4 linked regions of the Rhinolophus ferrumequinum genome follow. Each later gene encodes a partner of the first gene's protein in a complex. Links are inferred from orthologs where the notes say so. Each region holds a gene or a part of one and is shown on either strand. Other genes may lie near its edges.

The links.
Region 2: TLE6 (region 1) and KHDC3L share a complex: the UniProt entries of both Homo sapiens proteins name them as parts of the subcortical maternal complex. The link is inferred for Rhinolophus ferrumequinum from reciprocal best matches to the Homo sapiens genes TLE6 and KHDC3L.
Region 3: the proteins of TLE6 (region 1) and OOEP are in contact, whole or in part, in a cryo-EM structure (PDB 8H94), measured with the Mus musculus proteins. The link is inferred for Rhinolophus ferrumequinum from reciprocal best matches to the Homo sapiens genes TLE6 and OOEP. Residues at the interface, in NP_444484.1 of Mus musculus: Trp256, Ser258, Phe304, Thr305, Arg306, His307, Val318, Asn320, Val322, Asn323, Glu332, Ser333, Asn354, Ser355, Arg356, Leu373, Ala374, Ala375, Pro376, Ser377, Leu378; in NP_080756.1 of Mus musculus: Arg32, Pro33, Trp34, Trp35, Pro37, Gln39, Glu40, Glu67, Trp70, Met71, Gln73, Gln94, Pro95.
Region 4: the proteins of TLE6 (region 1) and YWHAG are in contact, whole or in part, in a cryo-EM structure (PDB 8XI3), measured with the Mus musculus proteins. The link is inferred for Rhinolophus ferrumequinum from reciprocal best matches to the Homo sapiens genes TLE6 and YWHAG. Residues at the interface, in NP_444484.1 of Mus musculus: Phe137, Leu138, Ser139, Glu140, Ser141, Asp142, Leu144, Gln145, Leu295, Arg347, Asn430, Leu447, Gln470, Met472, Asn489, Asp510, Asn511, Thr512, Met530, Pro553, Arg555; in NP_061359.2 of Mus musculus: Lys50, Arg57, Arg61, Lys125, Asp129, Arg132, Tyr133, Gly174, Leu177, Asn178, Val181, Glu185, Phe201, Asp202, Ile205, Ala206, Leu208, Asp209, Glu213, Tyr216, Lys217, Thr220, Leu221, Ile222, Met223, Gln224, Leu225, Arg227, Asp228, Asn229.

Annotation. Positions count from the first base shown.
Region 1 is NC_046301.1:60,230,215-60,237,525, reverse strand, and holds the start of TLE6 (transducin-like enhancer protein 6), read left to right. Parts: upstream 1-4,302; 5' UTR 4,303-4,356; intron 4,357-4,906; 5' UTR 4,907-4,930; coding exon 4,931-4,999; intron 5,000-5,436; coding exon 5,437-5,510; intron 5,511-5,888; coding exon 5,889-5,934; intron 5,935-6,973; coding exon 6,974-7,015; intron 7,016-7,311. UniProt on the Homo sapiens protein: Component of the subcortical maternal complex (SCMC), a multiprotein complex that plays a key role in early embryonic development.
Region 2 is NC_046286.1:34,639,779-34,646,028, reverse strand, and holds KHDC3L (KH domain-containing protein 3), read right to left. Parts: upstream 1,978-6,250; coding exon 1,809-1,977; intron 1,617-1,808; coding exon 1,437-1,616; intron 1,161-1,436; coding exon 505-1,160; downstream 1-504. UniProt on the Homo sapiens protein: Component of the subcortical maternal complex (SCMC), a multiprotein complex that plays a key role in early embryonic development.
Region 3 is NC_046286.1:34,652,892-34,658,894, forward strand, and holds OOEP (oocyte-expressed protein homolog), read right to left. Parts: upstream 1,617-6,003; coding exon 1,430-1,616; intron 1,215-1,429; coding exon 1,035-1,214; intron 681-1,034; coding exon 601-680; 3' UTR 516-600; downstream 1-515. UniProt on the Homo sapiens protein: Component of the subcortical maternal complex (SCMC), a multiprotein complex that plays a key role in early embryonic development.
Region 4 is NC_046290.1:92,431,113-92,438,436, reverse strand, and holds the start of YWHAG (14-3-3 protein gamma), read right to left. Parts: upstream 3,025-7,324; 5' UTR 2,808-3,024; coding exon 2,721-2,807; intron 1,260-2,720; exon of another isoform or gene 928-1,259; intron 280-927; exon of another isoform or gene 181-279; intron 1-180. UniProt on the Homo sapiens protein: Adapter protein implicated in the regulation of a large spectrum of both general and specialized signaling pathways. Binds to a large number of partners, usually by recognition of a phosphoserine or phosphothreonine motif.

The sequences.
Region 1 (7,311 bases):
AATGAAGCTGTAATTAAAAGTTTCACCAGAAGAGGGTGCCAGAGACCATGAGTTCAAGTCAGAACCAGCCTACCGGATTATGTCAGATTTGTGGACTTTCTCCCCTGCCTCCCACCTCCTGGAAGGAATGAACTGGACCCTCAAGAAAGGATTCTGCTGCCTCTCCATACTGAGGGCAGGGCTGTCTCACTGGGATAAATCCACTGCCTTATTCACTGACGCCATTAGAATAACAATTGGTCCACTGCAAATTTGCTGGGAAGCTTTCAACAGCCCAAAACAGCCATAGCTTGACCATCAAAAAACAACCTCAGTACCCCCATCCTGCCCACGCCCAAATGGGGAGAGTGTCAAAAACATACAGGACCCCCTGGAGAGTGCGAAGGCACACTGGACCCCCAACTGAGACACAGGCATCCTAGGAAAATAAGCACACACACAAATCCACGTGCATGGACATGTGTCCCTGCAGTCATCCTTCTGGCAACACACACACGCCAGACAAGGAAGAATTAAATAAAACAAAAAGTATCACAGGGCGGTGAGGAGGGTTAGGGGCACATAACAGAAAGTGATGGAGCCTCGCGGAGAAGAGATTTTTCAATTGCGTTCTGGTGGCAGAAGGTGTTCACTGTGAAGAGAGGAGAAAGAAAGGCTTTAACGTGGATCAGTGTTCATCAGTGAACCAAAGTTGAACCACCCAAGCCACCCCCAGATTCCTGCCCACCAGAAACTGTGAGATGATAAAGGCTTACTGTTTCAAGCCACCAAGTTTGGGGGCAATTTGTTCTGTGACACTAGCTAATATGTCTGGATTTCTTCAGAAGCGAGAGCCAAAATCCACCTCTGGAATGGATATGCCTTCCTCCAAGCTTGAGTCCAGGGAGTGGCCCAACTAATGCCACTATGTGGGCACTTCAGTGGAAGAAACCTAGTTTGGGTCTGGGAGTTATGTTATAAGGGTTATAAGGCTACATCCTAAAACAAGATGACCTGGGTTCAAATACTAGTTTAGACATTTAGTAACTGTGAATTTGGGCAAGTGCGTTGACCTCTCTGGGCTTCCGTTTTCTTCTCTATAAAATGGAGATATCAGGATTCGTGGACAATTGAGTGGGCCACTGTAGTACTTAATTTCCCTTTTGAGCCTCTTGGAGAGTAGAATTGTGTCCTTCAGAAAGATTCCTTCAAATCCTAACCCACCTGCCCTCCACTCCCTCCCCCTCTCCCCACCACGCCACCTGCAAACGTGACCTCATTTGGAAACAGGGTTATTGCAGATGTAATTAGTTAAGATGAGGTCATACTAAAGTATGACCCTAATCCAATGACTGCTGTCCTTATAAGAGTGAAATTCGGATGCAGAGACACACAGGGGAGAAGGCCACGTGAAGACAGACAGACGCAGCAATGAAAATGATGTGTCTACAAGCCACAGAGGGCCACGGACTGCCAGCCACCACCAGAAGCTGGGAGAGGCAGGAAGTACCCTCCCCTGGAGCTTTTGGAGGGAGTTGGCCCTGCCAACACCTTGATTTTGGACTTCTGGCCTCCAGACGTGAGAGAATAGATTTCTGTTGTTTTAAGCCGCCCAGTTTGTGGTCATTTGTTACAGTGGCCCAGGGGAAAGAAATGCAAGCCTCTTTCCACCAGGTGGCAGAGAGCAAACCTCAATCAATGCCAGGTAATTCGATAAATTCACTTTTCCTGGGGCCAGGTCTAGGTTCAAGGGCTGTCATATGGCGTTCAAAAGTGGGGCCAGTTGGGGGGCATCCCACCTTTGAGTATCTCCCAGCCAGGCCAGCAATTTCAGGTCCTTGTCCTGCTGCTCTTTGCCATTCATTCCTCCGCCAGACACCAGGGCCTGCCTTGTACCTACAGACTTTCTGCAGCTCCTCCCTAATTTCTAACGCTTGGCTATTGTCTCTTGCTCTTGTGGGCCACTGGGAAGTTCTGGGGATGGGGGAGAAAAGGGGACAGTTGAAGCCTGTCACCACCTCCCTACTATCACCTCCCTGTGGTCACTCCACAGCCCCCTCTCCACCCTGGGCTTTCTCTTGAGTTCTCTGCTTGGCCCACAACCAACCCAGGTGACCCTGGGGCCCCTGGGGAAGTGGCCTGAGGTCTCCAGGGCAGGCCCAGGGAATTCCAAAGCTTTGGAAATGTAAACCTCTTTTTTCTCTAACTTTCATCCAGACCTTGGATTTCCACCAAGTAAAGCACTGCTCAGAAGCCAAGAAGGAAATCTGTGCTTCCTCCTTTCCTATCTGCTGTGTCATCCATCCCCTTTCCAACGGCTCAAGGAGGTTGCATCCTTGCTGGCCAGGCTGGAGCAGGCAGGGGACAGAAAAAGAAAGAAGCAGCGGGGAGCACATACCAGCAAAAGTACCAAATATTACCCAATCCCCCCATGCGGGGTTTTCAAAAAGTGAGAATGGGATGGCTGCCATAAAATGCTTCTGATTTCTACATGGACCTAGAATTTTTCTTTTTGAAGAACCTCAGATCTGCGCCGTCCTGTGGAACTTTCTGTGATGATGGGAACATTCTAGATCTGTGCTGTCCAGTGCAGACGGTCCCCAGCCACATGTGGCCACTGAGCAACTGACAATTGGCCAGAGGGCCTGAAGAACTGAGTTTTAAATTTTATTTAATTTTAATTTGTTATAAAGAGCCACAAGTATCTAGCAGAAACCAGACGAGACAAGCCAACCTTGGATGAACTGGTGCGCCCAGATGAAAGTCTACAACCACAGAGAGGAGAGCCAAGTGCACAGAGGGAGGCAATTAGCAGGCCGGATCATAAATAAAATACATTTCAATTAAGGGCCGGTTGAAGGATCATGGGTGAAAACCCTCTTTTTATGGTTCATATACAGCAGCCCTCACTTTCTCCTCCACAGACCAGCCACAAAATACAAGTTACGTGTTTACATCAGAACCGCTGGGGGCTACACATCCCAAGATCCGAACCCTCAGTTACCCCCCAGTGACAAAGCACAGATCAGGGGAAATGGAGACGGCTCTGGTTCGTGTGGATCCCAAGCCAGACACCGGCCCAGGAGCCTATGGCCAGCAGTGAGAATGTATTAGAATCCCATCAGCATTATATGAATTTTGAGCCACTGAGATTAAAACAAGATCAGCTCCAATCCAAAGTACATTTGGAGGAAAATGAAATAACAAAGGGAACATGGAGGTCCCTCTGAGCCAGAGCTGAAGGTGAGGGAGTAAGCTAGTGAGTGTCAGGTGGGAGAATATCCCTGGTGGAGAGAATAGCTAGTGCAAAGGTCCTGGGGTAGCCAGAAACTTGGCCTCTCACTCCAAAACTCCAGATTGACCACTTCACATCTTGAGTAGGCATTTCAAACTGGGCAAACACGAAACTCTTGAATCCCTCAACAGCCCCCCACAATCCCCCACCCACTTATCTCGGACATCATCCCAGGCCTGAAATACCCACCACCCCATACTAAATTTGCCTGAACTTGGAAAAAATGTACCAGCCTCAAGGCCTTTTCAGTACCTAGAAGCTTTAGGTTCTAACATCCTCTCTCCCTAGGCTTGGAGGGGAGTTAGGAAAATTCACCTTGATAAAATGTGTAGCCTGGGGCTTGGCTCACGGGCAGCACTGGCTAAAAGGGAGACGTTAAGTTTTCCCCAGAAAGGGGGCTTGAAGCTTCATTTCATTGAACGTTATTTAACATCATAAAATGTTATTAGCCCATATCTAAGGATCAGAATGAGAGTGCTAGAGATCTCCACCCAAGTCCCAGCCCCCCACCCTCCCACTCCACGCCATAAACCACTCCCGAGCATGGAGAAAAATTACCAGGCTTCTCTTCAAACAATGCAACTATACGCCGCTCGGCCCCTCCCCAGGTTGCACCCTGTGACCCCAAGCCCCAAGCCCAGGTAAATATCCTCGACCCCGCCAGCACCCGAAACTGCCTGCGGCCCTGCAAGCTGCCCTTCCCGGCTGAGGGACCGCAAGGGTTAAGCAGCAGCTCCCTGTGCTCTGATTGACAGCCCGGCCGGCGGCTGGGGCGAGTCAGCCAATCAGAGACAGTGGCCACCGCCCACGTGGGCAAGCGGCTTCACGATTGGCCAGTGCCGCTGTCTGCCGTCCCCAAAGCTTGAGCCCACGTGCAGCTGCTGCCTGTTCATTGATTGACTTTGCGGTGCAGGTGGCGGTGAGGAGGGGCCGGGGCGGGCCGGGGCGGGACCAGGGCGGGCCGGGGCGGGGCCCGACAGGTCAAATGGCCCCCAGGTGAGGGGAGGCTCTTCTTTCTGCCTGAACTTGGCTCACCCGCGCAGCTACCTCCTTGCTTCTTCTGGACCTCTATTCTACGGAAGGTGTGTAGGCCCCAGGTCAGCTGGAGGACCCCAGGGTCCCCGGGCGGTGGAGGAGGCTGGAGGGACGTTGAGGGGCAGAAGCCAAGCAAAGAATATAGTTTGGTCGCGCGATTGTGATTGTGGTAATGAAGAGGTCTCTTTTTCTTCTGCCTGAGAAATTCCTCCTAATGCACCTGGCCAACAACTCTTACTCATCCTTCAAAACCCTTTTCCAATGATGTTCTCCCATGCTTTAGAAAATTGGTCTCAAAACTAAGGTTGAGCTTTGGCATTCTTCTCTGGACTCCCCCAGCCCTGACTGTTCGCCCTGGGGGTCCCCACTATTAATCAGCACCGCCGCAGGCACCAGAGTGTTTGATGAATGAATATAGGCTGTAGGGAAAGCAGTGGGATGCTGGAGGTCAGTCGGGGTTTGGGATCCAGGTTTGGGTCCTGGAGGGGAGACCATGTTGTCTGGTGTAGAAGGCCCAGGGGTGGGATGGGGCTGCTTTGTCCCTGCCACTGCCTAGCCTTCTTCCCTCAGGACCTGCCATCTCCTTGTTGCTTTTAGAGACCTTGTGATTACTACCTGAAGATGAGCTATTGGGGCCATCCCAGCTCCCAGGGGCAACCTCCAAGGATGGTGAGGCCCCCAGGAACTTTGGTGAGGAGGGCATGAACCCCTGGGGCGGGGCGGGGGGAAGACTGGGGGCTGGGCTCATATCTAATTCTCCTGCTTCTGATGGAAGGCCTTGGGAGGGGCTGGCTAGGCTAACCCAACATACCTACTGATTGGTGCCAAGGCACTTGCTTTTTTAAAGTAAACTTACTTAACACTCAGGTGTAAAACATGACTACATCATCTGTTAATATATTACAAGCAAACTCCCCCCTCCTCCAGACGTTACTTCCCAGATATGACCATTTTTAACAGTTTAGGCTGGGGGGGGGTGCGTAAAGGACCAGAGAGGGAATAGTTTATATTTTTAAGGCAAGATGCAAAATAGAAGATACTCTGTGGGTACTTAAGTAGCAAGAGAGAAGGCAAATTACCTTCAGGTTTTAGGAGTCCTACCTCACCCTCCTTGAACCTTTTTCTAGGCTCATCCTGGGGCCAGCCTTCCAACCTTGAACTCTCAGGGCATGCTGGAGCAGCTCAAGAAGCAGTTCCCCAGGTGAGGATGATTCACAGGGGACCTGCTGTGACCCTAAGTTCCACTGAGGGAAAGATTTCAGGTCTCTCGCTGGCTCAAAAGCCCCTGACCCAAATGACAGGACTAATAATAGGGGGAACCTGAAACAGAAGGAAAACCAAACCAGTAATACCGACCCTGGCTTTATATTTAAATGTTTGATTTTTTGTTGTTCAGCGTGCATTTGCTTGCATTCAATTATATTTTTTTTAATGCTGCATTAAAATCATATTCATCTTGAGGCTGTCTTAAATGTGGCTCCTTTGAAGGGGACCTTCATTCCCACCCTACCAGGGGGTGAGGGTCATTCTGGGGAAGGAGGGCATTCCTCCCCTTCCAGCCGTCTTTCTTCCCCCACAGGTTCCCCCCTCAGTTGCCGGCACAGATGGAGAGCATTTACTACTTGGTGAGCCACAAACCAGGCAGCCCCTCCCAGAACATCCTAGAAAGGTGGTTCTGTTAGGCCCCAGGAACAGGATTTCAGGGACACCCTCTTCTCTGTTTTGCTAACTTTGGGCAAGTGAGTTAACCCATTGAGCCTCAGCTTCATGTGAGTTTTTCTTTTTTCTTTTTTTTTTTTTTGAGAATTTTTATGAGTTTATTTGAGCCAAACTGACGACATATGCCCAGGAGCAAGATCTCAAATTCTCCCAGGTTTTTTATAATAACCTTGCTGTGAAAACTAGAAATTCCATATTTAAAGGAGGTGCTTCTTCAGCTCACAGAGCATGACTAGAGTCCCTGCCCTTGAGGGACGTATGTTCTGATGTGCTGATATCTTCTAGAACTTTTCCCAGTGTTCTATATCAACAATGTCCAATGAGACATTGTTGATATAGAGCATTTGTTTTTTAATTGATTTAAATTTGCATAGTCACACTTGACTAGTGGCTACCTCATTGGACTGAGCAGTTCTAAGGGGAGGAGAGAGACATAAATTGAGAAACAAGATTCACAAACTGTAAGCATTATAAAGAAAATAGAAAGTGATGAAATGAAAAATGAGTAAAGATTTTGAGCTAGGGTAGTCAGGAAGGTCTCAGAGGAAGTGATGTTTGCAGAAGAGAAGGGGCTCCTGGTACCCCTAGAGAGAACTGGGAAAGGTGTTCAGGCAGAGGGCAGGGTATGTACAAAGGACCTGGGGCTGGTGTGTTGGAGGGACAATGAGGAGGCCCAAGTGGGAGCTGAGTGAGCAAGGGGGAGGGGTCTCTGGGGAGGTCCTTGACCTTCAATTCACATCGAGAATGGAATCCAGGGGCCTTCCTAATTAGCACCCACTCTGAGTGTATGAAGTGGTATCCCATTAATGAGAGTAGGGACCAGTGAAATAGAGTGACTTGCCCAATGTCACACAGCTGGGGAGAAGCATGCGCAGCATTCAAATTACCGACCCCCGCCCACTTCCATTGACACCACCCCCTGTGGCCCCTGTTGTTACTTCACAGCTCCAGAAGGTCCGACAGGGTCTGCAGGAACATCACAGACAGGTGAGTGAGTGACCGGGAACTCAGGTATAGCTGCCCCTCGAAAGGCAGGGTAGAGGAGGAGGAGGGCAGGGCAGGAGAGCCCTGTGGGCTTCGGGAGGACCCCATGGAGATGGGAACCCTGAAGGGCTGTGGGCAGAGGAGAGATAGGACCTGTAATCCCCCAGGATATCAGCATGTCCCCACATCTTGGGAGTGCGTCTTCCGGCCTTCTCCTCGGGTCCCTGCGTGGCTCAGATGACGCTTCTTTGTAGGTCAGTGGCTTCAGCTTTGACGGGCTTGTTCTGTGTGCCAAGCAC
Region 2 (6,250 bases), on another chromosome or scaffold:
CCAGCCGCATGCCTTGTTGGAACCAAGTTTACGCATCCCACGTCACTTTGAATAGAAACACCTCAGGTTTGGAGAGATTTCCCAACTGAGGATGGACTCGATGGCCTTGAGAGGCCTCTCGCGGAAAAGCCAGGTGTGCGAATAAAGAGCAGAGGGAAGCACCTGCCGGTGCCTGGGAAGAAATACGAGACGTCTCACTTGCCTCGACGTAGATAGCAAGCAGCCTAGAGCAGATACTGGCTTCTGGAAGAATATTCCTCTCCCTCTCCTTCTACCAGCCAATTAACAGACCTTAGGGAAGTTTAAGTGTTTATTATGGAAATTCGATTCTTAGAACTTAGATTCCTGTTTGCACACATTTAACATTGGGGTGAGGTGGAAGAACCAATAACAACCCACACCTTCCCCAGCTTCTGCGCAGAAGCAGGACCTAGAAAAAGAGGGCTCCAGAGAAGTTTCCACATGAATCTTGCCTGGCTCTCGCTCCTGGGCCCTGAGAAGCCTTCATATCCTGGGAACCAGTACCAGGGTAGTGTCGCGGGAGCTCTGGGTGGCTACCTCCCGGATAGCATTGGGGGACCGCTGGGTGGCCGCCTCGCGGGCAGCGTCGGGGGACCTCTGGGTGGCCGCCTCGCGGGCAGCGTCGGGGGAGCGCTGGGTGGCCGCCTCGCGGGCAGCGTCGGGGGACCGCTGGGTGGCCGCCTCCCGAGCAGCGACGGGGGACCGCTGGGTGGCCGCCTCGCGGGCAGCGTCGGGGGACCGCTGGGTGGCCGCCTCCCGAGCAGCGTCGGGGGAGCGCTGGGTGGCCGCCTCGCAGGCAGCGTCGGGGGACCGCTGGGTGGCCGCCTCCCGGGCAGCGTCGGGGGACCGCTGGGTGGCCGCCTCCCGGGCAGCGTCGGGGGACCGCTGGGTGGCCGCCTCCCGGGCAGCGTCGGGGGACCGCTGGGTGGCCGCCTCGCGGACAGCGTCGGGGGACCGCTGGGTGGCCGCCTCCCGAGCAGCGTCGGGGGAGCGCTGGGTGGCCGCCTCGCGGACAGCGTCGGGGGAGCGCTGGGTGGCCGCCTCCTGGACTGCGACCGGGGGCATCTTGGTCTCGGCCTCCCCGACAGCGTCCGGAGACCACTGAGTCCCGGTCTCCAGGGCAGCGTCCTTCTGTGAGCCTGAAAGAGCAGTGTGAAGAGATCACACCTGTGTCTTCCTTCATACTCTCTCCACAAAAGGAGTCATCCGTCCGGGCTGCGGGGTTGGGGGCCCGGAATCTGAGAGCACGGGGTCAATTTGGCCTTCTAGCTCCCCTGCAAACGAGGCAACCCACACTCCCCCACCCGGGCGACGAAGAGATTGAGACCGCTGCCCAGGCAAGGCCAGGACGCATCATGATCCCTCCCAAGGAACCCAAGGGCTGCTCAGGGTGCCCCTCATCCCAGGGCCCCTACTTTGCGCCCGGAGCTGGCGGTGATAGTAAGCCAAGTTCATGATCATCTTGGACACATCCCTCTGGTAAGAAGGCCGACCAAATACCAAGATCTCAGCCTCGCCTTCGGGGTCCCACTGATTAACGTGAAGCAATGTCTGCGACACACACTCGACGTGCGGGATGTGCTCTCCGCCCGGGCCTGCGCAGGAGGCAAAGAGGCCATGAGGGATGGGACTTGGGAAAGGGAGGCAACGGGACGTGCAAGCAACAGGGGCACTGGATTGCGGCCAGGGCCACAGGACAGGCTTATCCTGGGGTGCAGTCAACCGGGGCAGGGAGGGGTAGGAGTGGGGCAGGAGGCCGCATTGGCTTCCCCTCTCTGGCCACTCACCGAAGATCGCTTCCACCAGGCACGCCTCGAGGTGAACCGTCTTCGGAGTCTTCAGGTACTCATTGTGGAACCAGTGGGGACGCTTGGTGAGGTTACCGAGCACCTGGAATAGTGTCCCTTCCCGCTGCTCCAGCTGTACGAGCGTCGGGAACGGTTTGGGGGTGGCCATGCCTCGCAAGGAGCTGCGGGAGGGCTGCCAGCCTGAAGGTTGCACTGGGGCCTGGGCCTTACTTCACAGGCTTTGGGCAAGCCCCTCCCACCGACGCCCTTTTCATTGGATACCAGGCCTCACCTCCCCCACTCCGCAGCCGCGGGGCAAGTTCCTGAGCTCTCGCAGGTGCACTGGGGCTCTCCCCGGAGGTGGGTGGGTTCTAGCCCCGAGGCTGAGCTCCGGACAGGCAGGGAAGATCCAAGTACAGGACAATATCCGCAGAGAAGCAAACTGACATCTGTGGAGACTCGGGTGCTTTTCAGACAGTTCTAATGGGATAAGTTTATCATTCCTGACGGGCTGTAATAACTTTTTAACAAAAAATCTAATTAAATACATCAAAAAAGCAAAAACTCAAGGAGTAAAAAAGGTACTCAAAGGCTAAATTAAGTCTCCCACTTCCTCCTAAACCCTGACTACTGAGTTCCTTCCCCAGAGGCCACCATATTTCCAGCCTTCTTCCGTGCTTCCCCGAAAATAAGACCTAGCCGGACAATCAATAAGACCGGATCTTATATTAATTGTTGCTTCAAAAGATGCATTAGAGCTGATTGTCCGGCTAGGTCTTATTTTCGGGGAAACACGGTTTCTTAACCTGTCAGAGACAGCTGAGCACACCCAACAGCAGGTGGTGCATATGGTTTGGATGCCAGAGGGGGAATCCCCACCCTCTCTTTAATTTCTGGCAACCACTGATCTGTTCTTCGTTTTTATAATTTTGTTATTTCAAGAATGTTATATAAAAGAAATTATACAGTATATAACTTTTAGCACTATTTTTTTTCACTCAGCATAATTCTCTGGAGATTCATCCAGTTGTTGCTCTTATCAAGTTTGTTTCTTTTTATTGCTGAGTAGTATTCCACGTGATTCATGTATCAGTTTGTTTAACCATTCACTTGTTGAAGGACATATGTGTTTCCAGCTTTTGGCTATTACAGGTAAAGCTGCTATGAACATTCATGTGCAGGTTTTCTGTGTGGACATGAATGTTTTCTTAGTTATATATGTAGGAGAGGAATTGCTGGGTCATATAGTAACTTTATGTTTAATCATAGAGCTGTCATATTGTCTCCAGATTTAATATACCATTTTTAGGGTTTCCGGGTGGGAATTCCTTCCCGCCTGTTCTTGGGAATTTTTTTCATTTTCCCATTCCCGAATCCTGAGAAAAGTTGGTTGGGAAATCGGGAAAATCGGCTCCTTGAACCCAGTAATACCCACAATGGGAAAAAAACGTACTACTCACAATGTATCTCTTAGACATTTTTCCTATTTATCGCTATCTAAAGTTACATTGTGTTACAATGTTACATGCCACCAGATGCACACGTGACACCAGAATCAGATATCACATGACCAGTGTGGGGACAGAGCCCCAGAGAGCAGTTTCCAGGCTCTCGGCCACACGTGGAAAGGTGCTGTCTCAGGTAGTAAATGGCCATCAACTGTGATTGGATGGCCATCAGCTGTGGCTAGTTGGCCGTCAGCTATAACCAGTGAGCCATTGGCCACTAATATACCTGTTGTGGCTACGCTAGCAGCAAAAATGGGGGCTAGCAAGCAGATAGTGGCTGGCAAGCGCGTAGTGTGGCAGAGTGTGGATTGCAGATTCAGTGGCTCCTGCTTCCTGTGTCTCCAATCCAGCCACCCAGCGAAAGTATAGTGGTGACTCCCCTATCTATAGCTCCGTGGGTGTTCCTTTTTGACCTCACTATGTCCTGCATTCTTATGTAGGGAGCGGGACCAAAGACCCCTCCGAGTGACTCTCCGCATGGCACCAACTAATTTTAGCTCTTGTAAATCGAGCACGTTTGATCATGGAGAACAGAAAACAGTTTGTATTTACACAGAGAAATATTTGTTTTCACAACCCAGGATTTGACTACAAAGTCATCTTCAGGTGAACTAACTAAGGAAATCTAAGGTAGTTTACCTTAATATGACATTGTAGTCAAATCCTGGGTTGTGAAAATAAATATTTCTCTGTGTAAATACAAACTGTTTTCTGTTCTCCACGATGAATCTTTTCCCAAAGTGATGGCCGATACTACCAACCACACTCGATCACTTATGGAAAGAAGAGTATTATGAAATATTGAGAGGTATGTTGAATTGCTTACAACCTGTAAGATTAGCAGTTGAAGCCTCAAGTAATAGAGAAGCTAATATTCTCACAAGTGAAGGAATTTTTAAGTTCCTTTTCAGTAATTTAGAAAAACAGAATTCATCAATGAGCCAAATGCTTTTAAAGGAAATAAAATTTGAATTGTTTAAACATAGAATTAGAGATCTTGTATCTCTCACAGAGTACTTGAGCAACGTTAGTTGTTTATGTGAGATGGAAGAGGAATTTTTTGCCTTGTCAAGTAAGAATGAAATTGCACGATCGGCAAAGTCACTAATGGGAAGACTTTTTAAAGGAACATTTATAGCAGAAGTTCCAAGAGAAGAAATAAAGGATGTCATTACAGAGCGTTCTGACATTAAATCAGAATCTGATCTGAAGTGTGAATTGACAAAAGCAATGTCAATTTTGACATCAAAGCCTAGCCCTATGCATGCAGACAAAATATTTGCTTCTCTAAGGAAGGAAATGAGCTTATATGAAGCAACGCATTCTCTCCCAAGTTGAAGATGCTTGTAGATGCACTCATAATTCAACCAACGTCTACAGAAAATGAAAGAAATTTTTCCACATCAAGTATATTTGTTACAAAGCGAAGATCACGATTGTCTGATCAGGCAATTAATGCTCTGTTTCTTAAAGTTTCATTTTAAAAATGACAAATAAAAACTATTTGAAGGGGCCGGCCCGGTGGCTCAGGCGGTTGGAGCTCCATGCTCCTAACTCCAAAGGCTGCCGGTTCGATTCCCACATGGGCCAGTGGGCTCTCAACCACAAGGTTGCTGGTTCAACGCCCGCAAGGGATGGTGGGCTTTGTCCCCTGCAACTAGAAAACGGCAACTGGACCTGGAGCTGAGCTGCGCCCGACACAACTAAGACTGAAAAAGGACAACAACTTGAAGCTGAACGGCACCCTCCACAACTAAGATTGAAAGAACAACAACTTGACTTGGAAAAACAGGCCTGGAAGTACACACTGTTCCCCCAATAAAGTCCTGTTCCCCTTCCCCAATAAAATCTTAAAAAACAAAAAAAACTATTTGAAGTATTTTTTAAATTTTCAAATGAATAATATTTGCATTTGTTTTCTATTAATGTTTAATTTAATAAATAAAATATTTAAATGAGATTGGGAATGTTAATACATTGCGTGATATATGTAAAAACTCACTGTATACCTTAAGGTTTGGTTAAATAAAGTTTGTATTAATTACATTGTTTATATTTTGAGCAAACCTGAAATATAACAGAAACCTAGCCAAAATGATACGTAGTTACCCCTGTTTAGCGCTCAGTGCAAGAGAATCATTAGTCATGAAATTCCAGTCGACCTCCATTTAGGAAATTTTATTTACTCAAGTTTTGCGTTGACCTTTTTCATATAGGAGTGTCTTGAAACCTCTGAAAGACTGCGCTAGGGCCACAAAACCCGATTGCCCACCTTCTCTATGGCTTTTCTGTTTATTAACATTTACTGTTACAGCCATTATTACAGATGATCAATGAAAATTAAATAAAAAAGATTATTTCGTGAATTCTCGAGACTTCTCAGGAAATACAATTTCCCATTCTAGATTCCTGAAAGTTCCAAAATGTCGGGAATTTGGAAACCCTAATCATTTTACCTTCACTCCATCAATGTATAAGTGATCTAGTTTCTCTGAAAGCTCACCAGCTTTGGGGTAGTCCCTATTTTTTATTTCAGTCATTCTGATATTTGTATAATGATTTCTCATTGTGGTTTTAATTTACACTTCCCTAATGGCAAATGATAATGAACCCCTTTTCATGTTCATATTAGCTATCTGTATATCCTTTTCAGTGAAATGTCTCTTCATGTCTTTTGCTTATTTTCTAATTGTATTATTTAATTTTTTACTCTTGAGTTTTGACTTCTTTATATATTCTTCAATATTAGTCCTTTGTTTGATATGTGGTTTGCAAATATTTTCTCCCAGTTTATAGTTTGCCTTTTCATCTTCTTAATAGGGTGTTTCACAAAAAACGTTTTTACTCTAGATGAGGTCCAATTAATCAATTTTTGCTTTTATGGATTGAGCTTTTGATGACAAGGCTAAGGACTCTTAGCTTAGCCTTGGTTCC
Region 3 (6,003 bases), on another chromosome or scaffold:
AGCAGCTTGAAAGTGCGAGCCTCAAAGAATCATTAGCATTACCTATGGAGCTTGTTAGAAATGCAAATTCATGGACCCAATGTACTAAACCACAATCACTTAAGGAGCCTAGCAAACAGTATTTTAGCAAGTTCTCAAGGTGATTGTTCCACACTTTAAAGTTTGAGAACAAATGATGCAAAAAAAACCAAAGCAGAACTGACCCTTCATCTCTTCTCCCTGTGCTTGAGGGCCTGACTCTGACCATAAAATCATAGAAGGGTTAGTAATTTCAAAATGGTAGAAACTAAGAAACAAAAAGAAAATCACTACCTCTCAGGCCTTTTACCCACGCTACACATCAAGATATGAATGAACAGTCAGTCAATCTTTTGTAAATTTACTTAATTTTAAGCGAGCAAAGATCTTTACGCCATTGGACAAAAAGGAAATTCATTTCTTTACTAGATGGGCAACTACAAACTCACACTGGCATCAACATAATCAAACCATTACCCATCAAAGCAAAGGAAAAAAGAAATGTAGGGATTTAAGAATACTTGCTTCTCTTCAATTTTAACAGCAGAAGCAGGATTGTTCTCATAATGCTCCTGACAATCCTTATGCAACAGGATGCTGGACCGTATGGAGACCTGATGCGCGGGCCTTCAAGAACTCCTCAAGTTGTTTCATCTTTTGAGCTGCATAGGGAAAAATGCTGTTTCAAACTACTCCATCACTGGGGGGTTAGGGGAAAGTGCTGGCAACATCATTTCTCAGGCTGGAGGCTCCGAACCTGGGATCTGGAAATAATGGCTAACCAAGCTGAGGGTGGCATGGGCAGTGATAGGCCTGAACGTGTAAGATGTCATCTTACTCTCCCAAGGTCTTACTTGGATTCCTCTCACAAAGGGATGCCCAGGGGCTGCGTGAAGCATACTGGAGTTGGGAAACTGCAAAAAATATTAGGAAGCTGAGAGAGGTTGGGAGGAAGTCAGGTACGGCCAGATGGCTCACCCGTGGCTCCCTCCACATGCAGGTTTTCAGACCCTCACCTCGGGCACGATGTTGGCGGTGCCTTGATGCCAGGCTCAGGAGCACGCTCTTCACCCGATTTTGCACACGGGGCTGTCCAAAGATGGTGATTTCGACAAAGTTCCCGTCGTTTACCATGTCTACCGTCAGCAGGACCTGGTTCATCCACTCTATGTCCGGAATGATGGCTCGGTCTGCGCCTAAATAGAAAAAGAGAGACTCAGGGGAGGCACCGTCGAAGGTCAGGAGGAGCTAGGTTTGAAGGGGATGTCAGCCGGGGAGGGAAGAGCTGGAAGCTGGTATCATGGCTACAAACGTGGCCTGCGAATCTGGGAAAGAGGCTGTGACGAGGTTCTCTGCTGGCTTCTCTCAGACTGTAGGGGCCTAGGCCACCCATGCACCCCAGGTCGCTCACCGAAGATTGAGTCAGCCAGCCATGCCTCCATGTAAAACGCCAACGGGTCTCTCAGTTCCTGCACAGGAAACCACCACGGCCGGGTGCGAATCCGTGGTGGTTGAAGTGGTACCTTCATTAGCACGTCCAGGGAGTGGGCGGGCTTGCAGTCGTGCCCTTGGGCCCCCGCACCTCCGTGGTCCGCCATACTAGGACCAGTAGCCGGAACCAAGAGCCAGGCAACGCGGGCGGAACTCCAGAGAGGAGCGAGGCCTGTGCCCCTTTTACAGTTCCGGCCAGCCCCGCCCCTTCCGGCGGAGTCCCATGGCCCTTTGGGGCAAGTGGGCCCATTGATTCTGGGCACCCAGGCCTGGTGGGTGCCGCAGGGCGCTTCCTGCTCTGCGTCAATCACCAGGACTTCCTCTTCGACCTTGAATTAGTATTTATTTGAGCTCCAGCTGGATCTCAGAAGCTGTCTAGCCGTGGTTTTCTCTGCCCAATGAGGTATCAGCCTCGAAGGCCTCCTCCACATCACAGTTATCAACAGATAGTCTCTATAAGAGGAGATAGTGAATCAAACTTTAGTGAATATTTTATTTCTTCAATTTAATTTTAAAATTCAACATAAAAATACGTGTACATTGTTAAAAAAAAAAGTCTTGAGGATCATAAATATGTGAAAGTTCTCCCTTTCATGTATCCTCCCTCAATCTCTTACTAATCCTTTAAAATTTTTGTTTATTGTGAATATGTTCTAGTTTAAATTGCCTTTTCACTTGCTTTAAGGTGACTTTTGATGAATAAATTTTTAATTTTAATATAGTCAGTTTATCAGTCTTTGTAGTAAGTGCATTCCATGTCTTGCTTAAGAAATCATTTCCTGTCCTGAGGTCTAAAGATGTTCACTATACTTTCTACTAAGAATGCTGAAGTTTCTGTCTTAACATTTAAATCCTAGAATCATTTGGGGTTAATTTAAAAAAAAAAAAAAACTGGGCATTAGGTAGGGAGATAACTTCATTTTTTTATAAATTGATCATTTTTTTACTTGAGCCATTCTCTTGAGAATGCATCCAACATGAGGCAATTTCATTTACCTCCTTGAAAATTTTCAGACTCCTACATATAGCAAGAGTTAGCCACAAGCCTGGTTTGTGGTAATTAATTATTAGGTGAAGACATACTTGAGAAAGGCAAAATCAAGACAAGTTCCTTTGCCATCCCCATCTGGATAACATAGTTTATTTCTGATTTAGTTTTATTTTGGAAGTGTAGTCATTTGGGGTCCTAGCTTTATGCAGAGACCCCATATTAAGGTTCCTACATTTGGCAAGCCTCAAGTTTTATTTGCTGACCCCATGCCAGCTTCAAAACTTCAGAATTGCAAAGTTATTAGGAGTTAGCAGAATCTTCTAAGATGAATCAGTTTTATCACTGTTATCTGCAAGTTTCCTGATTTGACTCTGATGGGTGGGGAGTGGGCATGATTTGAATACTGGCTCCAACATTTTCTAGCTGTGTGATTGATGCAAGTTATTAAAACTCTTCTACCAAGAAGACTTCCAGAGGATCATATGCTTTCATTTTCTCTGTTTAGCCCAGGAGGAAACAGTCTGAGGGGCTGTGGATTCAGCCAATAAAGTATGTGAGTGAATTGGCTTTATAATTTCTCCCTGAGAAGCTTTCTTCTTCATTACTTCACTTCTTGTAATCTTCAACTCTTAAGATGAAATCTTTATACAATGAAAAATGTTACAAAGCATAATGAAGACATAACACCAATTTTTTTGTACCAAATAATCACACCAAAGTGTATATCACAGATAGAAAAATGAGGAAAGTAAACTCCTAAGGAGATATTTAACAAATTACCGTCAGACAAGAAGCAATCATGTGGAAAAGGAATACAATAAAGCCCTAATAGTTCTGAACAATAGAGTGCATTCTTGTAATGTTTAAGAGCATTTACAAACAGTAACTATACCATACTAGTTCCCTTGGATGGATGGATGGATGGATGGATGGATGGATGGGGAGACATTATATCACACTACTAAATAATATTCAAGTAAAGTAAGAAATGAAAAACATCACTGACAAGCTATTTAGAATGTAAGAATAACTTACAAAGTACATTTTAAAAACATTTTATTATAAACAACATACATTCAGAAAAAAATCTAGTTTCAACCCTTCTCATCTATCCTGTTCTCTCCTTCACAATATAGTTAACTATTAATAGATTTTGTATTATTTTTCTATTTTAAAAAAGTACATAAGAATCAAAATTTTTGCTTTTACTTTTTTTGTAATATTGCATATAGTATTTTCTTGTATTCTTTTCACACCAGTTTTTTATTTTGAAAAACTTTAAACCTATGGAAACATTGTTAAAACATTAAATTTACATTCTATGCCTTTCATTTGGTTTCACCATTTTAATATTTTTATTCATTTATTTTATCTCTCTACCTATATATAACTTTCATGCAATATTTGTAAGTAGCAAACATCATGACACTTTATCCCAGATACTTCAACATCATTTCCTAAGAACAAGGACATTCTCCTATGTAAGCATCTACAATTATTCACTCAGGAAATTTAAATTGATTCAATATTGTTTGATATACAGTCCAATTTCAGTTTTTCCAATAATGTACTTTATGGCTAATATTTTCAAATCTACAGTTCAGTTAAGGAGCATGCATTGAATTTACTTGTCATGTCGCTAGTCTCTTTTAATCTAGAATCATTCTCTGTTGTTTAATCTTTAATGACATTGATATTTTGAAATATTTTAAATTTTTTATTGTGGAAAATTTAAAACATTTACAAAAGTAGAGAAGGTAATATAAATGAATGATCACATACTGATCACACAGCTTCAACAAATAACTGATGAATTATCTTGTGTGGAAATAAACAAAGACCAAAATAAAAGAAAACAAAACCAAAAAAAAAAAAAAAGAACAAGAAAAACCACCCAAATGGGAACAAGGAAAAGCTACATATTCAGTGTTTGCTGTAGTGCAAGGGAGTCAGATACCGTCACTGTGTTTCTCAGAGACTCAAAGGCAGGCACAGGAGTGGGAAAGCTTTAAAGTAGAAGAAAAGGAAGGCTTCAGGTATGACTGAAGAAGGAATGTATTGGCATGGGGAGGCTCTAGGTGGGCTAACAAAGTGGGGGAATTTATGTGATTGGTTAGGGGTACATATTTGGCTTTCTCCAGTTGGTCCTAAGTTGAAATAAAGGGCAAAAATTAGGAAAGCTGTCATTACTAATCAAGTCCTGGCCATTTGGTGTTGATAGCCATAGGTGTTGTCTGGCTTGCTGGACTAAGTGCTGCAGATTGTGGGTTAGAGTTCTATTTTTATATTTGCTCTGGACATTGTCTGCTTATATATTCAGTCTGTCAGTCCCTACTTTTGGCCATTCTCTAATTTTCGAGGGGTTGACCAATTCAGGGAAAGCTAGATATCCAGATTGTCACTGCTTAGAGATTGTTCAGTTGTCCTTATAGTCAACCAGATCACAAGATCTTCTTTCCCTTTTTGTATCATCATTGAGATCATCTGTTGGAGAGTGACTATGTAGAAGCATTTAAGACTGCATAGAATATGTTAAAAGAATATTCAGAGAGCTGTACTTGAGATGAATATTTTATTGAGTGAGAAACAAACTTTGCAAAAAACAAGTGGCTTGAAACTTGGATCTCAGCAGTTATAGCTCAATTTATAAAATATGAATGAGGAAGTGCATTGTTTTGTATTGTGACTGACTATTAGAAACTAAATTCTTATTAGGGTACTAAATAAGTACTAAATAAGCTTATTTGTTTGTAGCTGATTAGCTAGGAAGCTATAACATTATGCTGACATGAAGAAAGCTTAAGTTTTGTTTAAAGTCAGAATCATCTCAGGGAAATCAGGACAGTTTTAAGGTTTGGTTACGTGGCTATGAGTGTTTGGTCTAGGGGTATATTCAAACTGTGGCCTCCATTTTCTCTTTAACAAATGCAAAGGGTCAGCCTGACTACTATGACAAAAACAAGAACAATTAATAATCCATATAAAATGCTTTGGAACCAGGAATCCTAATTGCCCCACCTAGGCCAAGAAAACAAATTCCATAGACCATACAACCTTCGAGTCACATAGCTTTTTCCTTAAGGTGATATATAGCTTGTTCCACCTTGCCTGTTTCATTGATCCAAGTAAAAGAAGAAGTATTAGCCATGGCACAGATGCCACCATAATCAGCCAAGAAGAAATAAGCAGTACAATTGTCCATCACTACTTAGGACAGTGAGTTATGACTGATCTCTATTCCATCTAGGGCGGAGGTGGTATCACTAATAACTTATGCAAAAGTTAGTGATAGGCTTCTTCTAGTCTTTTCCAAGTGTATGGTTCCTACTGATGGGAACACTGCTCTGAGCTCTCATAAACAATGAATGAGTCAGTAATTCCCCTAGGTAATGTGCCTGGAAAATCAAGACTGGCCTCATTTTGGAGCTCACATCTGAGTCAGAATTTCCAGCCTTGGTGATTTATAGACTCAGGGTCTCTGTGTACAGACAAGATTCAGAATA
Region 4 (7,324 bases), on another chromosome or scaffold:
ATCATCTAAGTATTCACTCTCTCCTTAAATACAAGACTACACATTTATCTTAAAAGACTAAACTTCCTTTTTTCCTTTCAGAATACTACATGTTACTTCTCTCCTGGTTACCCACATACAACTACCATTCTGTTGCACAGGTCCCAACAGTGTCATTACTAGGATAATATTATTAAATACCCGTAAGTTTTATCCCTCTATCAGCAAGGCAATTTCAGAGAGCTCACTGGAGTGGCAGGATTGAGTCTTTTCTTTATATCTTCCTGTATTTTCCAAATGCTTCATGATGAGATGATTTTTATAAAAGGAAGAAACAAAGTTTTATAAATAGTTACCATTTTTGAGCACCTACTGCATTTATTTAATCCTCACAACTTTTTCAAATAGGTACTGACCCATTTTACAGATGAGGAAAATGAGGACTGAGGTAAACGTACTTCTTCAAAATCACAGTAAACAGGTTTGAAAAAAAAGGTCTGCTTTATTTTACAAACTGTTCTTTCCTCCAAGCTCCATCAAGGAGCAGAAGCATTAATAAAGCAAAAGAGAACTTTGCCAAATCCCAAAGTGTTTTGTAATAGATTCCCATTCCCTAACATTTACTGAAAATGACCTAGTGGGAAGTCATAACTGTTTAAGGTTTTTATTAAAACCTGCCAAGTAAATTTGCTATAAACCCAAGTATACAGCCCATCCTTACACTATGACCATAAAACATTCTTGTTTAAAATTTCTATCTTTAAAAATACAAATTATCTTATCAACTTTTGTGAGAAAACTAGAAATAGGAACATGAATAAGCATATCTGTAGGTCACTGATTTGCATGTCTAAGGATAAATGAAATTCTTATTTTTGCACCAATTCTTATCTGGTGGGAGATGAAGTACTCAACTCCACCTGGCTTATCAGCTAATTTCTGCATTACCTTGGACAAATGCCATTTGCATACTCCCTACCAGCCCTTAGGTGCATTGCAGCCTCTGTGTCATTGTGTGTGACATCACTGGGTTGCTATGGATATAGGTGCGAGGTCACTCGCTTTCCTGTGAAACTAGAAACATGGAAAAATTAGAAGAATCTAAATGACATGAACTAAAGACATTTCCAACTATTAAAAGTGCAACTTCTATCATTCTAGTTTTAAAATGTTTTAAGACAGCAACTGTGGCAACATATTAATACAGTGGTACTACCAATTTCAGAACCAATGTTCTTCCTTAGTGAGATAAAAAAATCTTTGTTGTTCACATAGCTGGCCTAAATATAAAAGCATTATCACCTCTGTGAACTAGTGAAATTATTCAGGAATCTGAATACCTGTACTGCTTCATTAAACAGATTTAACATGCAAGGTACACTTCTAAATAAATCCACCTCACGCTGGAGGTACACTTTAAAATCTTGGTTACATAAGGCGGGAATTTAAATATTAAGTTAGTGGGAAATCTAAATCATTAATTGGATAATTTGCCATGTTTCATTTAGTAATGGCTCCATGCCTCCCCTCGAGTATCAAAGTCGTTGACAGGCCGTTAGATAAATGTAGTGTTACTGACAAAATGGTGCAATACAGGCAGGAATCTGCATCCTATACAAAATGCGACAACTGGAGATCAGTATTCTCTTTTCATCAGCATGAGGATGCGCTAGCTTTTTTAAAAAAAAGCCTCAGATGTATCTAACAAAACAAATTGGGAAAAAATAAAAAAGACTTTTTCCCCTTTAAAATAACTCCTCCCAGCCTCCACCCAGTCTAGGCTCTCTGCAATATGACAAATGCAGAATCTTCTGGAATGACTTGATACTGCCTCCCACCACCGCTTTGTTTGCAATATCAGATCAGAGAGTATTTTTTCAACTTATTGGAATTTCAACAGATGTGTGCCTGTATTTAAAAAAGAAACAGCATGTCACAAATTGAACCAGTCAGCTAAATTCACAACCTTTATTTTGAAGACAATACCTACCCTTTTCAATACAAAACATTAGGGAAAAATGGAGATGACAGGTTGAGAACAATCAATGAAAAACGCTAGCAAGACAAACGTTCCCCCTTCCTTAAAGCACGAGGACTTTGCTTTGGGAAATGGAGAAAGAGGAGCCTTTTGTTAAGAAAAACGTGAAAAAAGAGGTTTCGACTTTGCACCATTGAGCCCAGGTTTTCAGGAGAGCCTGACTACATTTTTCCCGGGGAGACTCTAAAGGATCTGTCAGGAGCAGCAGTGGGGAAGATTTGGGGAGGGGGGTAAGTATTAGGAAACCGGGAGACCTGCTCAGTGAATGGGAAAGGCGCCGCCCAGACACCAGGGAGAGAAAGAGGAACCGCATCCATGCGGTCCCCCGCCCCCACGCCCAGGCTGGGAGGAGGGGGAAGTGGGGCACAAAGGATGCCCACGGCCCCCGCTCAGATCCCCAGCAGCTCCAAAGACGCGGGATCCAGGGACCCTGCTCCCGAGACCTGCCCTATTAAGACCCCGCCCCAGCCCGAGCCCGGGGAGGGCCGCGGAGGCAGCGACGCCAGCTCCCGCGAACACTTTGGGAGAGGCCGCGTCACAACCCGGGTTCCCATCATCGAGACGTTCCCCTGTCCCCTCACTGAGCGAGGAGGGGCGGCCAACCCTGTAGTCGCGACAGGCGACTAGTCCCTGGGCCGTCCACGCGAAGGCCCGCGTCGGCGAATGGGCTGGGGCGATGCGGGGGAGGGGAGGAGAAACTCACGTTCTTCATGGCCGCGGCCATGTCGTCGTAGCGCTCCGCCTGCTCCGCCAGCCGGGCTTTCTGTACCAGTTGCTCGCGGTCCACCATCTTCGGGGCTGAATCGGGCCGAACAAGGAAATCGGGACGGCTAGAGGGATTGGAAGGCAGCTGTGGCGCGGCTGGAGCCCGTGTGCCGGAGGAACCGATCCACGAACCAAGCAGCAGAGGCGGCGCGGAGGCTGCGGTTCAAGTTGCGACCGCGGGACCAGGCGCGAGGCGGCTGCGGCTGCTGTGCGTGCAGCGGGCGGACAACCCCCTGCGGCCCCGCCCACACCGTGACGCAACTAGCCCCGCCCGCGCACCCCGCCCAGGCTCCTCCCCGGCCCTTCCGCTTCTCGGGCGTCCCCTCCCCAATCAGCTTGCCGCCACCTTCTAGGCGTCCCCTTCCTTCTCGGCTGCACCCCAGCACTCCCCGTTCTTCATTTCACTCGGGTTCCTGCGGCCCAGTTTCTCCAGAAGCAGTCCACTTCACCTTCCCCCTTCAGACCCCCGCCCTGCCAGACCTCCGGCGCATGGATCTCTGGGAGTTGTAGTTCATCCACTGGCGGGGTGATACGTTGGAAAGATCAAGGACAAAGGGGCGGTCAACACTACATCTCCCAGTGGTCATCGCACGCTGGAGGAGGAAGAAGGAGGGGGTTCTAAATCCGCGGCCGCTGGGGACCCCTGGCGGGGACGAAGGCTGCATCAGTCGGAGCAAGTGCTGATTCACGGCCCCGCCCCATATTCTCAGGGAAATTACAAGAGGACCGGGCCAGGGCCCTAGCCCTGGACCCAATGTCCGAGATAAAGTAACAGGCTAAGGGGGTTCACAGGAGAGGGAGCATGTCCAAGGTAGATCCAAATTGCCAGAGTGCTGCCCGCCCCTGGGATGGTTGAATTAAGGAACTAAAACTGTCATCCACTCCCACAAGATTCCAGTTCCCCAACCCCACCTTGAGGTTCTTGGAACCTGATGAGGTGAAAACATGGAAGGACAAATATTGGCCAGGCATACTGGTTAATCTACGGAAAGGATGCAGCTGTCCGCCGTCTGACCCCTGGGGAGCCCCTTCTTCCTCTCTAGTGTGGAGTGTTAAAAATTCAATTCTGTTACCAAGAGCCTACAGTATGTTTAACATGGGTTGTATCTGGGGGTTAACCAATCCTCTCCCCACCTAGGAAATACACCCTGAGGTCAAGCTGACAAATTCTTGCTCATATGCTTCCCTTTTTGACATTCAACATAGCTCACATACCCCATAGTTTTGTTTTGACTGCACATTTTATTAATTTATTCAGCAATTATCTATTGAGCACCTACCATGTTCCAAGCATTGTTCTAAACAATGAGGTACAGCAGTGAACAACAACAACAAAACCCTGGCCAAGAAAATAGGCAAGATAAACATGTAGACTATGTCAGAAAGTGATAAGGAATAAAAAAAATTAAGCAGGAGATATGAAGTGTTGTGTTTGAGAACCTAGAATGAAGGAGTTTCTTTGAAAGAATATTCCGGGCTCTAGGCTAGATGCTGGAGGAAGAGGGCGTGGAACCCTGCCCTCAAAGAATTTAAAATGTGTTAAGCACTGTTAAGTTTTGGGGTTTTGTTTTGTTTTGTTATTCTTTCAGGCTAGATAGGAAGAGATTCTGAAAAGCTTCTCCAGGGAGGTTGGTAACATTTCCAACCCAGCCTTTAAAGGACTTGTAAGGATTTGACAGCAGGCAGAGGACACAGGCAGCTGGACTCAGAGGCTGGTTCCTCCCTGACATATTTATTGGTAGGCAAAGAATTAATCGTGCTTGTTGCCTGAAGTGATGGGTAGTGGGGCTGGGGATGGAGTCAGGAGCCAGAACAGAAGGAGCCCTGCATAGCAGGCAAGGAAGGGAGAGAAGTCTTTATTCTGAAATAAATAGAAAGCCTGTGAGAGATTTTAACAAAGGCAGAAAGTGAGGTTTGTGTTTTGTCTTCATCATTGCCTCCTTCATCAGTGCTTACTTAGCACAGTACCTAGCACACAGTAAATCTGTAGAACATAGGAAGTAAAGAAATGAGTGAATGAATGCACTATAGGGAGATTGCTCTGGCAGGAGTGGAGGAAATGGACTGAAGGAGGAGAGAATCTAGAAATAGCTCTCTTCTCCCCCTCCTCCAACATAGGATCCAGCCCCTCTCCTCTTACTACACCACCCAGCAAAATGCAATCCTGTTGGTGAATAAACCCTCCTGCTTCCTTCTGTCTTTTACATGACTGTTCGCCAAGTCATTCCTCTTCCTTTCTCTTCCTTCCTGCAGGTCAGGCCTGAACCATTCTGGCCTGGGCATCACGGGATTGTGGAAATGAGCCCTTCCAGCCAGCGCTGGTTGTCCACATGTGAATTAAATGTGTCAATGCTAAATCTCGGGCACTTCCTGGCACATTTCAGGCCGCCTCTCGGACCTCTCCACCTCAGTTCCTTTCCCCACTAGCCCAATGTACATAAAAAAATTTTAAAAATTAAAAAATCAAGGCCAAATCTGTTTTGGAAAAGTAAAGCAGATGCAAAGAAAGTGATACAGGATAGTTAGCATGTCCCTAGGTAGACAGGGAGGTCTCTGGTGGAGTAAACAAAGACAGCCATATCCTAAAACTCCAGGTTTTGAAATCACTCCTTCGCTCCAGGACATAATGTAACAAGGCCTTGAGGTTCATAAAATTCCTTTTGGCCTGACAAACGGAATAGATCTGATAGATAAAGAGTGGGTTACTTTGCTAATTCCTTTAGGATGGGCAAGCAGAACAAACCTGGTAGAAGAATTTCATTAGAAGGCGCCAGTTCCCTTCTTCAAACAGCTCCCCTTCCCCAAGTGGACAAGGGAAGGTATAAAAATAAGAGCTTTTGCCTCACTCACGGGGCCACCCCCATTCGGGACCCCCTCTCACTCAGGAGCTCTGACTCTTTGCCTTCAATAAACTATCCTCTTTTTAAAACTCTTTGCCTCTCCTGGGTCCGTGTTTCCATTCTTGGGTCTCACGAGACACAATCCCGGCCCACACCCAGAAACTGCCGGCAGACCCAACATCATCTACATCATTTGGGGAATCACAGGAAAATATTCCTCCATCAAAAGGATATTCCAAAGCCAAACAGTAATGACATGGGCAGTCTCCACATCGAGGTTTCCATCCAGTGGTGCAGAGGAGAGCTGGGCCTGCCCTCCTTTCCCTTTTGATTTTTTTTAAGACTCTAGGCTTAAAGCTGCAGCTGTCCAGCAGCCCGTGGTTGTTTAGAGGATTGTTTCAGAAGCGTGATGACATTATACAGAGCAAATGGCTTAATATTCTGGCTTCCTCCTCTACTGCCTGGGACTGCTGGAAGAAACCTGGAGCAGGGATTTGGAGAACTAGTACTCTGCCTTCTGCCTGGCCCCCAGCTCTGCGTGCAAGGCCTGTGCCCTCTCTGGATCTCAATTTCCGCTTCTTTGACGTGAGAAATTAAGCTAAATGAGAAGTAAGTGCTCCGCCCAGCTGTGACAGTCGTAGTTCTAGATTCAACATGTTCCTCTTCTGAAGTAGAAGGCGATTGGCATTCAGTTGTGGCAACAGGAGACCTGTACAGACGTGGGAGATAGTCAAGTCCCAAGAATTGAGAGGCTCAGAGTCATCCCTGTTTTTTAGACAAGAAAGCTGAGACGTGGAGATGCTGGGTAACAAGACAAAGGTGACTGCTAGAGACTGAATTCAAACCCAGGCGGATCTTCCGGACTCCCAGTAGCAAGGACACATTTTCTTTCCCAGGCTGTAAGGATCTACCCATTGGTATCTGCTCAGGAAAGGAGAGGCCCTGCCCTCTGGTGACTGGCCTGACACAAGGGCACTGGGCAAGCAGTATGGCTAACCCTCTGCCCCATTTCCAGTGCTGGAGGACATGACCTTTAGGTGCATCCTGTCCTGCTGGGTTGGCGGACAAGCAGGCCAGTCAGAGACATTAGTGTCCTGCTGTTTCTGTGCCGTCATAAATCATCACCACAGCCCCAGCCTCTGGCTCCTGGCTTCCTCCTGCGGCTGGAAAGCTCCCTGATTGGTGGAGAGGCAGCAGAAGTAGCCCCCGCTTCATAAGCGGACAGGCAATGCTCCCTGCCCTGTCCTCTGGGAACACTTCCCTGTCCCTGTCCTAGCAGGCTGGTCTGTAGTAAGGGCAGCACACACGACAGAGTCAGTGGCAAAGGACAACAGGGAAATCTCAGGGGGCTCCTCTCTTCCTGAAGAAACTGAAGCAGTTGTAGAGACCTGTGCTGGGAGGCAGAACCCACAGGTTGAAGCCTTGACTTTGCTATTGATCTTGCCGGTGACCTTGAGGAAGTTACTTTACCACTCTCAGCCTCGGATTGTGCATAAATAAAAGAACTGGACGATGTTTTTTAAGATCTTCCAGCCTCTATAACAACAGCCTTTTAACTCCCTGCCTCGGTGTCTTCCCTGCCTCCCCAGTGAAAGATGTGAAAGATCTTTCCAAATGTACATTCGCTTTTTCTCCTTCCCCTGCCCTGGCTGTGCCATGCGTGCTTCTCCCACTGTGTATGGGCCAAAGGCCCTGCTCCTTA